Arabidopsis thaliana: one gene and its partner. The protein of the gene in region 1 interacts with the protein of each later gene in a pairwise test. Each region holds a gene or a part of one and is shown on either strand. Other genes may lie near its edges. The genes, in order: JAZ4 and RAP2.7.

The links.
Region 2: the proteins of JAZ4 (region 1) and RAP2.7 interact in a two-hybrid assay, tested with the Arabidopsis thaliana proteins (one study listed by BioGRID).

The regions. Positions count from the first base shown.
Region 1 is NC_003070.9:17,929,379-17,935,450, forward strand, and holds JAZ4 (jasmonate-zim-domain protein 4), read left to right. Parts: upstream 1-2,011; 5' UTR 2,012-2,279; coding exon 2,280-2,355; intron 2,356-3,221; exon of another isoform or gene 3,222-3,601; coding exon 3,602-3,774; intron 3,775-3,895; coding exon 3,896-4,059; intron 4,060-4,153; coding exon 4,154-4,238; intron 4,239-4,440; coding exon 4,441-4,708; intron 4,709-4,809; coding exon 4,810-4,870; coding exon of another isoform or gene 4,871-4,877; exon of another isoform or gene 4,878-4,949; coding exon 4,950-5,055; 3' UTR 5,056-5,284; downstream 5,285-6,072. Other genes in the region: AT1G48510 (Surfeit locus 1 cytochrome c oxidase biogenesis protein), read left to right, coding at 5,511-5,655, 5,741-5,832, 5,919-6,072. UniProt on the Arabidopsis thaliana protein: Repressor of jasmonate responses. Interacts with and suppresses RHD6 and RSL1 transcription factor activities to negatively regulate jasmonate-stimulated root hair development.
Region 2 is NC_003071.7:12,224,929-12,230,325, reverse strand, and holds RAP2.7 (uncharacterized protein), read left to right. Parts: upstream 1-1,701; 5' UTR 1,702-2,074; coding exon 2,075-2,586; intron 2,587-2,681; coding exon 2,682-2,707; exon of another isoform or gene 2,708-2,735; coding exon of another isoform or gene 2,736-2,775; coding exon 2,776-2,806; intron 2,807-2,890; coding exon 2,891-2,978; intron 2,979-3,060; coding exon 3,061-3,206; coding exon of another isoform or gene 3,207-3,210; exon of another isoform or gene 3,211-3,312; coding exon 3,313-3,357; coding exon of another isoform or gene 3,358-3,464; coding exon 3,465-3,684; intron 3,685-3,759; coding exon 3,760-3,870; exon of another isoform or gene 3,871-3,942; coding exon 3,943-4,158; 3' UTR 4,159-4,670; downstream 4,671-5,397.

The DNA of each region.
Region 1 (6,072 bases):
CATTTTTTTTTCTTTCGAAAATTTAGCTTTAATTAATATTAGAAACTTTTGGGCATATTATTATTTATATATGAATAAAGAAATCTAACAAATTTTCAACACTGCTGGAATTTGATATATTTGCACCCACTAAAGTAATAATTGTTAGATACAAATTTGAATAGTTATAGTTATATTTAATGTTAGAAGATAATATCTATATAAATTATTTGATATGGACCTAATAGATAATTTTTGTAATTATTTACTTCTAATTAAACTAATTCAGATTTTTCGAATAACAAGTATTTTTATTTATTTCTTACTAAATTAATTCAGATTTTTATAATAAAAATATGTTAAAACTTTTTCTTTTTGAATTTAATGTTAAATTATATTAAAAAGAAAAATAAACTTGTTACATATGAAATGCTAATTGTTTTGAGAGTTTTTTTAAAGAAAAGGAACTTCTAATTGTCTATTATCTATTGCCTTGATTCAAAGTTTTAAACCAAACTTGGATGCCATCTTTGAACTTCAATCCTCCACTACCTTGAATTGTGCTCAAACGGTTTCTAAGATTCTTGTCTATAATCTTCACAAGTATTTCCGTCGGTGATGATTGCTCCCCATGCCTGATGCCTCCTCCTATTTTGTTCATTCCAAATTGAGTGTATAGAGTTCTGTCTGTAGTGCATACCTAAGTATGTAGCTCTTCGTTTTGTATAGAAGGTTTTTAGATAAAGTTTTCATAACCTCTGTCCAACTCGCCGAATATCTGTCCGAGAGAATTCCCCTTGTTAAGTCTTCCCATATCTTTTTTGAGTAGGCGCAGTGGAAAAATAAGTGTTCCTTCGTCTCTCTACCTGTTCATTGCAAAAAATGCAACTCGAATCTACATTACATACCACTTTCTCATTGTCTCTCTACTCAAATTCTGTTTTTCACAACCAACCAAGTAAAAAGGGATACTTTGGAGTAACGTATGGGAACCATATCTCATTGTGTCCCTCTATCGACAACTTTGCTAAAACTTGTGTTCAACGTTCTCTTTTTGTTATGTTTTTTCTTTTTAAAATCTGGAACCTATATAAAATCAGCTTATTAGAATATATTTATAAACTTTAATTTTTAATTTTAAAAATATTATATGGTAATGACTTATATAATCTCAAGAAGAATTGTTTTTTCCATAATTCGTATGGAGCCTTATATTTTTTTGGTCTGGCTCTGGTTCTATGTGGCAAGTTTTGCAGCTTGCTCATAAATTCATAATGCCAAGGGTAAGCTCCATACACTCGAACTTGGTATGAACATGGGAGCTCAGCAGTGTACATGTACTTGTAATTTAACCTCATGACTATTAACTCTTACAGTTCCGAAAATAACCTCTTTCTTAGGAACTCTTAGGGTTTATCCAAAAACAAAAATACTTTGATATATTAACAAACGAAATCTAACAACAGTAAAAGAGGAAGTTCTCCGTATGGGAGAACCAATACGAAGCATAAATGCTAGATTTTAACAAATGAAATCTAGCCTTTTTAACAAGGACATGAGCATACCAAAAAAAACTTTAAACGAGAAAAACCATCAATCTCTATAAAAAAGAAGGCCATTCATCCGGGATGGCTACGATCTATAGGTTAATTCTTATCTAAAAAAAACATTAATCAAAGATAAATCAATAATGAGGCACTGCATGACCCAAAGCAAGAATTCAAACTTTGTATGAAGAGGGATCGAGACGACGGTGAAAGCTCTTCTCAACCACATTATTACCATGTTTTGTTGTGTAGAATGAATGAGTCAATGACTCAATGCACTACAAATAATTGCTCTCTTTTAACTTGAGAATAAGGGTTCTTATTATAATGCTTATCAGCTTTAAATATAAAAATAAATAATGTAAAACATTATTTTAAGTTTGATATTAACGACATATTTATATATTTATATATTTATATCCAAGTTGTTCAAAATAAAAATAAATATATATATTTATATCCGATGATTGAATTTCTAATATTGGAAGTTTATTCCGGAACAGGAAAGCAGACGTGGGATATACACATACCGCATCGGATGATTTATATTAAAAAAATATATGTATACATCATTAGAGGAATCATAAATCGGCGGTGTGTGTAACTTCAACTCACGTTTTTCATTTCTCTCCAAAGTCCTTCAATTGTTACTAATTCTCTCTGATCTCTCATTTCTTCTCTTCTCCGGTGACATTTTTTTTCTCCCCCGCGAAAGCTAAACCGTTTTTGTATTCTCAACGATTGATAAGCCTGATGGAGAGAGATTTTCTCGGGCTGGGATCAAAGTTATCTCCGATAACTGTGAAGGAGGAAACTAACGAAGATTCAGGTAATTCATCTTCAACATCTTCCATTATGATCTGATGATTGTGTTTTTCATCTCACTTTTTTTTGTTTCTATTTTTGTAATCTCTTTTTTTGTTTATTGTTCAAGTACATATATATTGTTTTTCTAGCTTGATTGGGAGTCCTACTGTCTGGTTTTTTCTTGAACAAGAAATTTTTTCTTCGTTTTCTCGGGAAGAGAAAAAATAAATTAGGGTTTCTTTTTTCTTGATATATATTTAAGAAATTAGGTTTTAGTACTATAGACAGAAATTTAGCTACTCGAATTTGTTTGACGTAGCCGATGAAAAAACACGTTTTGGGACTCGATAGTTAGAAAATTCATACGTTCACGATCTACTTTTGAAGTTTTTTTCATTAAATATTTTTTGCAAACTACAAATGTACAAGTATACAACTATACAAGCAAACACCAAACTTGTTGACGTTAGTAATTTAACAAGTGTTAGTATTATCTTTGAAAAATAATATTCAGAGAACAAACTTGATTTTCTAGGTGACTAGGTGATGCATGTTTCTAAAGCTGTTGGTAATGTTGAGTGTTTTCAAAATAATTTCGTTTTTTTCTTCAAACAGCCGACACCGACAGAACAAAAATGCTATATTTTTTTTGTTGCTTACAAAATTGATCAATTGGTTTCAATACAATAGTATCTTCTTTAGAAAAGATTGTTTTTTTCAAAGCCGGATTGAATATTGAGAATTAGAACATTGGCTGGTTATTCTTTTTGAAAAGTTTATGCCATTTTTTAAGGTTTATTAAGCAACTTGAATTCTATCAGTATTATTTAAAAACGAAGACGTGAAATGTTGGGAAAAGAATGCGTTATATAGCGACCGGCTGACGATTAGAGATTTAACAACAAATGCAAGTTGAATTATATAAAAGCAAGATTGATTGTGACTTGATTAAGTTTTATTTCTATCCAAGTAGACTCATTGATTAAGTTAGGATCATGTTGGGTATTAAATTTAGATCAAGTTACAATTTGGATGAATAATTTACTTACCCACGAGGAATTTAATAGTTAGTTCTTGTCTTTTTATATTCCGAAACGTGCCATTTCTTGAAAGTATTTGTATGATCACTATTTTCCCCAGTGTGTTTGGCTTTATGCAGATTTGTTCATTGTTGATGAATCTAATGTTAAGAGTCGTCCACTTTAGCATAGCTAGATCTGAGTGTTTCCTAGTTTGATAAAATCTAAAGACATTTGCTCATGTTTCAGCCCCAAGTAGAGGTATGATGGATTGGTCATTCTCAAGCAAAGTCGGTTCTGGTCCTCAGTTTCTTTCTTTTGGGACATCCCAACAAGAAACGCGTGTAAACACAGTCAATGATCATTTGCTTTCTTCTGCTGCAATGGATCAAAACCAGAGAACTTACTTCAGCTCACTACAGGTTAGGCTATTTCTTGAAAAGAAAAAAAGTAGTGATAAAGTGTGATTTAGTGACCTTGTAAGAAAGCTTGGCAATTGGTTTAGTTTCTTCTGGTCTCAAAATTGATACAAAATGATCTCAGGAAGACAGAGTGTTCCCAGGTTCCAGTCAGCAAGACCAAACAACCATCACAGTCTCCATGTCCGAACCAAACTACATCAACAGTTTCATAAACCACCAACATTTAGGAGGATCTCCTATCATGGCACCTCCAGTTTCAGTATTTCCTGCTCCAACCACTATTAGGCATGCACTGCATTCTATCTTCTTCTGTTTAACATCAGATACAGAACCTCTTTACTTCTATAGTTGACTCGAGCTCCTTTATGTTCATCTCCAGATCTTCTTCAAAACCACTTCCCCCTCAGTTGACAATCTTTTATGCCGGTTCAGTATTAGTTTACCAAGACATAGCTCCTGAAAAGGTAACCAAATTTCCTTCAATATGTGTTACATTACAGTCCAAGCTATCCACTGACTAAGTATTCAATCAAAGAAATAAGTTTCACGTATAGACATGCTGAAGTTATAGAAAGTTACTAACCTGGTTTCAACATACAGTATGTTAATGATTCATAGATATGATAAATCTTTGTCCTTACTTCTTCATTTATTTTGTATTCATAGGCCCAAGCTATCATGTTGCTAGCCGGAAATGGACCTCATGCTAAACCGGTTTCACAACCTAAACCTCAAAAACTGGTTCATCACTCTCTTCCAACCACTGATCCTCCAACTATGCCTCCTAGTTTCCTGCCTTCCATCTCTTACATTGTCTCTGAAACCAGAAGTAGTGGATCCAACGGGGTTACTGGACTTGGACCAACAAAAACAAAGGCGAGTTTAGCATCCACGCGCAACAACCAAACTGCTGCCTTCTCTATGGCTCCAACAGGTTATAAATGAAGTCTTAACTCCTATTAATGTTTTGTCATCAAACTTCTATCTTAGGTTTAGTTTGTTATAACCAAAAAATCTTGCTATGATTTAATACAGTGGGTTTACCACAAACACGCAAAGCATCCTTGGCTCGGTTCTTAGAGAAACGCAAAGAAAGGTACTGAGCTACAAGATTATTCACTTATTCACAATATCAAAACACAGGTTTGCTGTATATTGGCTTCGTTTTCTTGCAGGGTCATTAACGTATCACCTTATTACGTAGACAACAAGTCATCAATAGACTGTAGAACACTGATGTCTGAATGTGTAAGCTGTCCTCCAGCTCATCATCTGCACTAAAACCAATTTAGACCCCTCATTGTTCTAAAGGCTTTTTCTTTTTTCTCTGGCTCTGTATCCTATAGACTATAGTATAGTTGTTATAGCTTTTGTTTATTCAGATTTTAGTACACTGGGCTTGTAAAAGCAAGTTATTTATATATATCCTATAAATTTAATTTGGATACTGTATGTTTTGTCTTTACTCTTGCATGTGTATAAAAAACATAAAAGTAAGACTATTCAAGCTCTTCTAGATTTTGTTGAAGTCAACTTTATGTTTATACTTTTTTTTCGATAATTGATATAAAATATTTCCACCAGCAGATGAAAGTCATTTAATTAGTTGGTGCCATGTGCTATATCAGAAAATAAAACATTAGTTTATATACTTAATCAGTCCTCGTCGTCGTCGCCATATATAGTAGATCAAGAATCTTGGATGAGACAAAGAGAAGATCCTGGAGGAGAAAAAGATGACAAAACTCGTTTCCAAGATATTTAAGAGGTTGATTTCTCAAAGTCAGTACATGTCTTCTTCTACTACTAGCAATCTCCCTGCTGCTTCACAAACTTCCAATCTTGAGAGCCAATTGCTTTCTTCAGCTCCACCACCCGCAAGTATCTTGCACATGCTCTCTCTCGTCTAATTTGTGATTAAGTTCTGAATCTTGGTTCTGAATCTTTGTGTAAAAATGTTTTGCAGAGAAGAAAAGAGGGTCAGCGTTGTTATGGTACTTAGTTGGATTCACTACTTATGGTCTCGGTGAGACGTATAAGTTCCTACAAACACAAGTGGTCTGTGATTTTCATTATATACATTTTAATTATACGTGTTGTTCTTTGATCTGCTAAAGAATTTGTTCAAACTCTTTTGTTTCAAGTACAAGGAACATCTTGATTCTAGAAAACAATGCTTGGAAATGAAACCAATGAAGCTGAATACAACGAAAGATTTGGATGGGTTAGGATTTCGACGGGTGGTATGCAAAGGCATTTTCGATGAGCAAAGATCGATCTATGTGGGTCCAAAGCCTA
Region 2 (5,397 bases), on another chromosome or scaffold:
TGAAGCCTAATCTTTTTTTTAAGATTAGCGTTAAGACAGATATTCTCTATATTTGAGTAAATCCCAGCCGTTGGATCACTGACCTATACCTTATTGACCAATCCCAATCGTTAGTACAATGCCGTCCAAGAAAGAGAGCTTGCAATCGCATGTTTTAGATGTATGCTATTAACCCTAAATCCTCAATTTCTCGATCTCAATCTTGCTATGTGGTGGGTGATACATCAATGGTAATTGATATATTATTCTTTTATATATTTGTGGTTTTGTTAAAGAAGGTATCAAATCTGATGCTCTGAAAAAGTGTGATTTTTTTACTGGATTTTAGTCTATGTAAGTATGTATTATGGACAGAGTTTAAACTTGAATCCGAACCATTTAAGACCGGAAAAATTTCATGCTATTCTCAAACTAAAAGAAACGATTAACCATAATTAGATCTATTAAAAGTGGATACATCAATCAAATAATAATATGGGCTGTGATAATATAGTTGTATCAATACTCGGGACAAAAATGCAACACGCTACAATGGTAGATTCAATTATACCGTATGAATGAAAACATTGCATGTGGGCTACTTCTTACGAAGAGACATGTTCACTTCCAAAACTAGTACTAGTCAAATGATTCGACATAACCTGAATACCAAATGCTATATCAAAAATGGCAAATATTCAACTAATAACTAAAAAGAACAATACTTTTAATTTTCTTATTAAAAAAGTTCTAGATAATAACCTTTTGAGATTTGATTTTCGAAGATATTAATAACGGCAGATTACTAAATGCAAAATTACAAGAAAAAAATTTATATTATGTGATTTTCTAGTAAATGTCGATTCTACCGTAGTTGACTACGTGTTGGCGATGAATCTTCTGAGCGAATTTTCGGGAAAGTTTGACAACATCATCTATGTCATCAATCACCATCCCCCGCTTCACTGAGGCATGATCAATGCTCTCATGGTAGCATACAAAGTCAAACATAAGTCATACTCATCACCCACAATTCTACAACAATATGCTTATCATAGGACATTAAAATCAAGGACGAGGAAACTACAAGAGCTAAAGACATCGCGGACAAAACCATATAAGTAGTGGTTAATACAACAACCGTTCACTCATACGATTAGCACTATAATAACACCTCGGTCATATACACTAATCAAAAATACCAATCCACTAATCCTAGACCTATGACTCAAATACCATCTGCCCATGTCCAAGTCCAACATCCCATCCTCTAATGGCATACTTGGACCAATATCCATCAAGCCAAATTGGTGCACACACTCAATCTCAAAACACACCAACGTACATTCCTAATTAACTCATGCAATCAACACTATGTCACCCCAAAACCCAAACCAAACGACGTGAAAAAACATGTAACACACGAACCAAATCACATTTTACTCTTGTTAACATTAACGAATCAACTACACCTACAAAAATCTAATGTAACAAGCATGGGTTAAAAAAAACAATACTGCAGCGATCATTACTCTTGTTTTGGTCGGAACTAAAAGTTGATGTTTCATTTCATGTATTGTATTGTCTCCTTTGAAAACCAAAGCATTGACCAAAAGCAGTACGTACCGGCAAAAAAAAAAAAAAAAAAAACCGGAAACTTACTTAGCCGGTATACCACTGCCAAAAAAGGACCAACAACAATATGTTAAAATTTTATTATAAAGTTATTATACACATTTATAGTTACAGAGAGAGAAAAACAACTTTATTATAAATAATGATCATCCTCTAAAATTGGGTCTGAAATGTTCCCTCACACGTCTCCTTCTATCTTCTTCTCCACTTTAAAAAAAAAAAATATCCGTCTCACTCTCTCGCCGCCGGTAACATTTCCCGGCGACAAAACTTCTCTACTCTCACCATTCCTCCATCGTAATCTCTAAATTCTTCTCCATTCTCTTCTTCCTCCCGATCATCTCGAGCTCTTCGTGAGAGATTATGTGATTATGTAATCGTTGTTGCTGTAGAAGACGATCTCTAACAACTGATTCCTTCATCATCACCTTCGCTAGATTTGTAATTTTCAGAGCTTGAGATGTTGGATCTTAACCTCAACGCTGATTCTCCCGAGTCGACTCAGTACGGTGGTGACTCATACTTAGATCGGCAGACATCAGACAACTCCGCCGGGAATCGAGTGGAAGAGTCCGGTACATCGACGTCGTCAGTTATCAATGCCGATGGAGACGAAGACTCTTGCTCTACTCGAGCTTTCACTCTCAGTTTCGATATTTTAAAAGTCGGAAGTAGTAGCGGCGGAGACGAAAGCCCCGCCGCTTCAGCTTCCGTTACTAAAGAGTTTTTTCCGGTGAGTGGAGACTGTGGACATCTACGAGATGTTGAAGGATCATCAAGCTCTAGAAACTGGATAGATCTTTCTTTTGACCGTATTGGTGACGGAGAAACGAAATTGGTAACTCCGGTTCCGACTCCGGCTCCGGTTCCGGCTCAGGTTAAAAAGAGTCGGAGAGGACCAAGGTCTAGAAGTTCACAGTATAGAGGAGTTACTTTTTATAGAAGAACTGGTCGATGGGAGTCACATATTTGGTAAGTTTTTTTTTTTTGTTGTTGATGATAATACAAGTTTCTCGATTTAGTAATTTTTATCAGTGAGATTGATTCAATTTTTTTTTGTTTTGTAGGGATTGTGGGAAACAAGTTTATTTAGGTAAATTACAATTTTTGTTAAAATTTTGATGATTAAGATTATTGATTCATGGTTGTTGATTTATATAGGTGGTTTCGACACTGCTCATGCTGCAGCTAGGTAATTTTTGGATTATTATAGATAAAAGTTTTGTTTTCGGAATTGTTAAGGTTTGGATTTTGATTAGTGTTTGTGTTTTTGTAGAGCTTATGATCGAGCTGCTATTAAATTTAGAGGTGTTGATGCTGATATCAACTTTACTCTTGGTGATTATGAGGAAGATATGAAACAGGTTTTTGGATATAAGTCTTTTGTTTTGGTTATATGATTGTTTTGAGTAGTTTTTTTTTTAACTGTGTTATCTTCTTGTTTAGGTACAAAACTTGAGTAAGGAAGAGTTTGTGCATATACTGCGTAGACAGAGCACGGGGTTTTCGCGGGGGAGTTCGAAGTATCGAGGGGTTACGTTACACAAATGTGGTAGATGGGAAGCTAGGATGGGGCAGTTTCTTGGTAAAAAGTGAGCAATTTTGTTCTTTAATATGAACTTTTTGATTTTAGAAAGGGTATGAAACTAGGAATGGTGTCTAAGTAGTGGTTAGGTGATTAAGATGCTTGAATTGCAGGTATATTTATCTTGGGCTGTTCGACAGCGAAGTAGAAGCTGCAAGGTTCCTTAATGATCATTGTTTGATAGAAACCTTTAGTAGAACTTCACTTTGTTTTTATCAAAGCCAACATGAAGTTTCTTTCTTTCTAAACATTTTCTTGACAACAGGGCTTATGACAAGGCTGCAATCAACACTAATGGTAGAGAAGCAGTCACGAACTTCGAGATGAGTTCATACCAAAATGAGATTAACTCTGAGAGCAATAACTCTGAGATTGACCTCAACTTGGGAATCTCTTTATCGACCGGTAATGCGCCAAAGCAAAATGGGAGGCTCTTTCACTTCCCTTCTAATACTTATGAAACTCAGCGTGGAGTTAGCTTGAGGGTAACTAACTTTCAAATACCAATCTCTCATGAATTCAAAACGTACGTTTCTTATCGTCTTTTAAACAAACTGCAGATAGATAACGAATACATGGGAAAGCCGGTGAATACACCTCTTCCTTATGGATCCTCGGATCATCGCCTTTACTGGAACGGAGCATGCCCGAGTTATAATAATCCCGCCGAGGTAAAAACATAGAATCAAAGTGAAACAACACAATGTAGTCGCAAGACAATGAAACAATGTTTGTTTTTTCAGGGAAGAGCAACAGAAAAGAGAAGTGAAGCTGAAGGGATGATGAGTAACTGGGGATGGCAGAGACCGGGGCAAACAAGCGCCGTGAGACCGCAGCCACCGGGACCACAACCACCACCATTGTTCTCAGTTGCAGCAGCATCATCAGGATTCTCACATTTCCGGCCACAACCTCCCAATGACAATGCAACACGTGGTTACTTTTATCCACACCCTTAACTTGTAAGGGGACATATGAGAGTTTTTTTACCATCTCTCTCTCTCTCAACACTCTAGTCCCCTTTCAAAAATGTCATTTGGGTTTTAGATTTTTCACATACAATGATCAATTTTTCCAAATTCAGATGAGAAAATGTGTTTTTTTTTACATCAAAATTTGGTTTGTTGAGAAAAAACTTTATCAACTAAATGGTAAAAAAAATGTGTATGTTTGTGGTAAATTTTAAATCTTCTCAAAATGTCTTTACCTAATAAGGTTTGTTTATGTGAAAATATGTTTTTTTGGTAAGAGGACTCTTGAAATTTGGAAGGTACAATTTGTAACAAAAAATAAAATATGAGGATGAAGTTTTGTCGTTTTATGTGAAGGTTTGATAGTATAAGATATTTTGATTAAAATAACACTGTTGAAAAGAACAGTAAAGAGAGATAGTGATAGGTTTTGGCTGCCTCTTCGGAACCCCGAAACGATTTGGCAAAAACATTACATTCTTATTTGTATACATATTCGGATATAGTGCCAAATCTAAATGCTTATTCTATAGTCACGTGTGAAATGTATTGTACTTAACTATTCAGTGAGTCATGCATAATATGGTTTAAACTTTTGGAATAGATTAGATGCTCTGTATTTTCTAAACTATATCAACTAAACAAATAATTAGGAAATATTTTTAGTCAAATGGTTAACGGTAAGTCATTAAACCGAAACGTCCACAAATGACGAAGATCCTAGGATATTTGTAAAAATTTAGTACTTTTTAAAAACAAGGACGAAACATTCGAACTACTTTTTTTTGGGCTACGTTGGTTTTTTGTTATATAGTCAACAAAAAACTTAAAGAAAATGGTGTAGTTGTTATGCCAATTGTCAAGCTAAAAGAAAAATAAGAGATTCCCGATCTTCTGTTCTGTCAAATCAAATCTCTAAGTCTATCTACCGTTCCGGGTAATGTAATAATATTCAGTAAAGATGTCATGTCTTAAAGAAACTAAATTTATTATTCATAATATTCCAAAAATGGCCCTTTCCTATGACTCGTATCCTATGCCTTTACCAGTAATCTAAAAGCTCACATGTTTCCTTCTTTAAACATATCATTATCCTTCTTTTTAAGAATATATTAAGAATACCATTATCTTCAATCGACAATTTTCTGAACACAAAAATACTTTTATGATGAAATGTAATCATCTGATTTACAATATCATTAAAAGTATTGTAGATTTTTTAAAGGC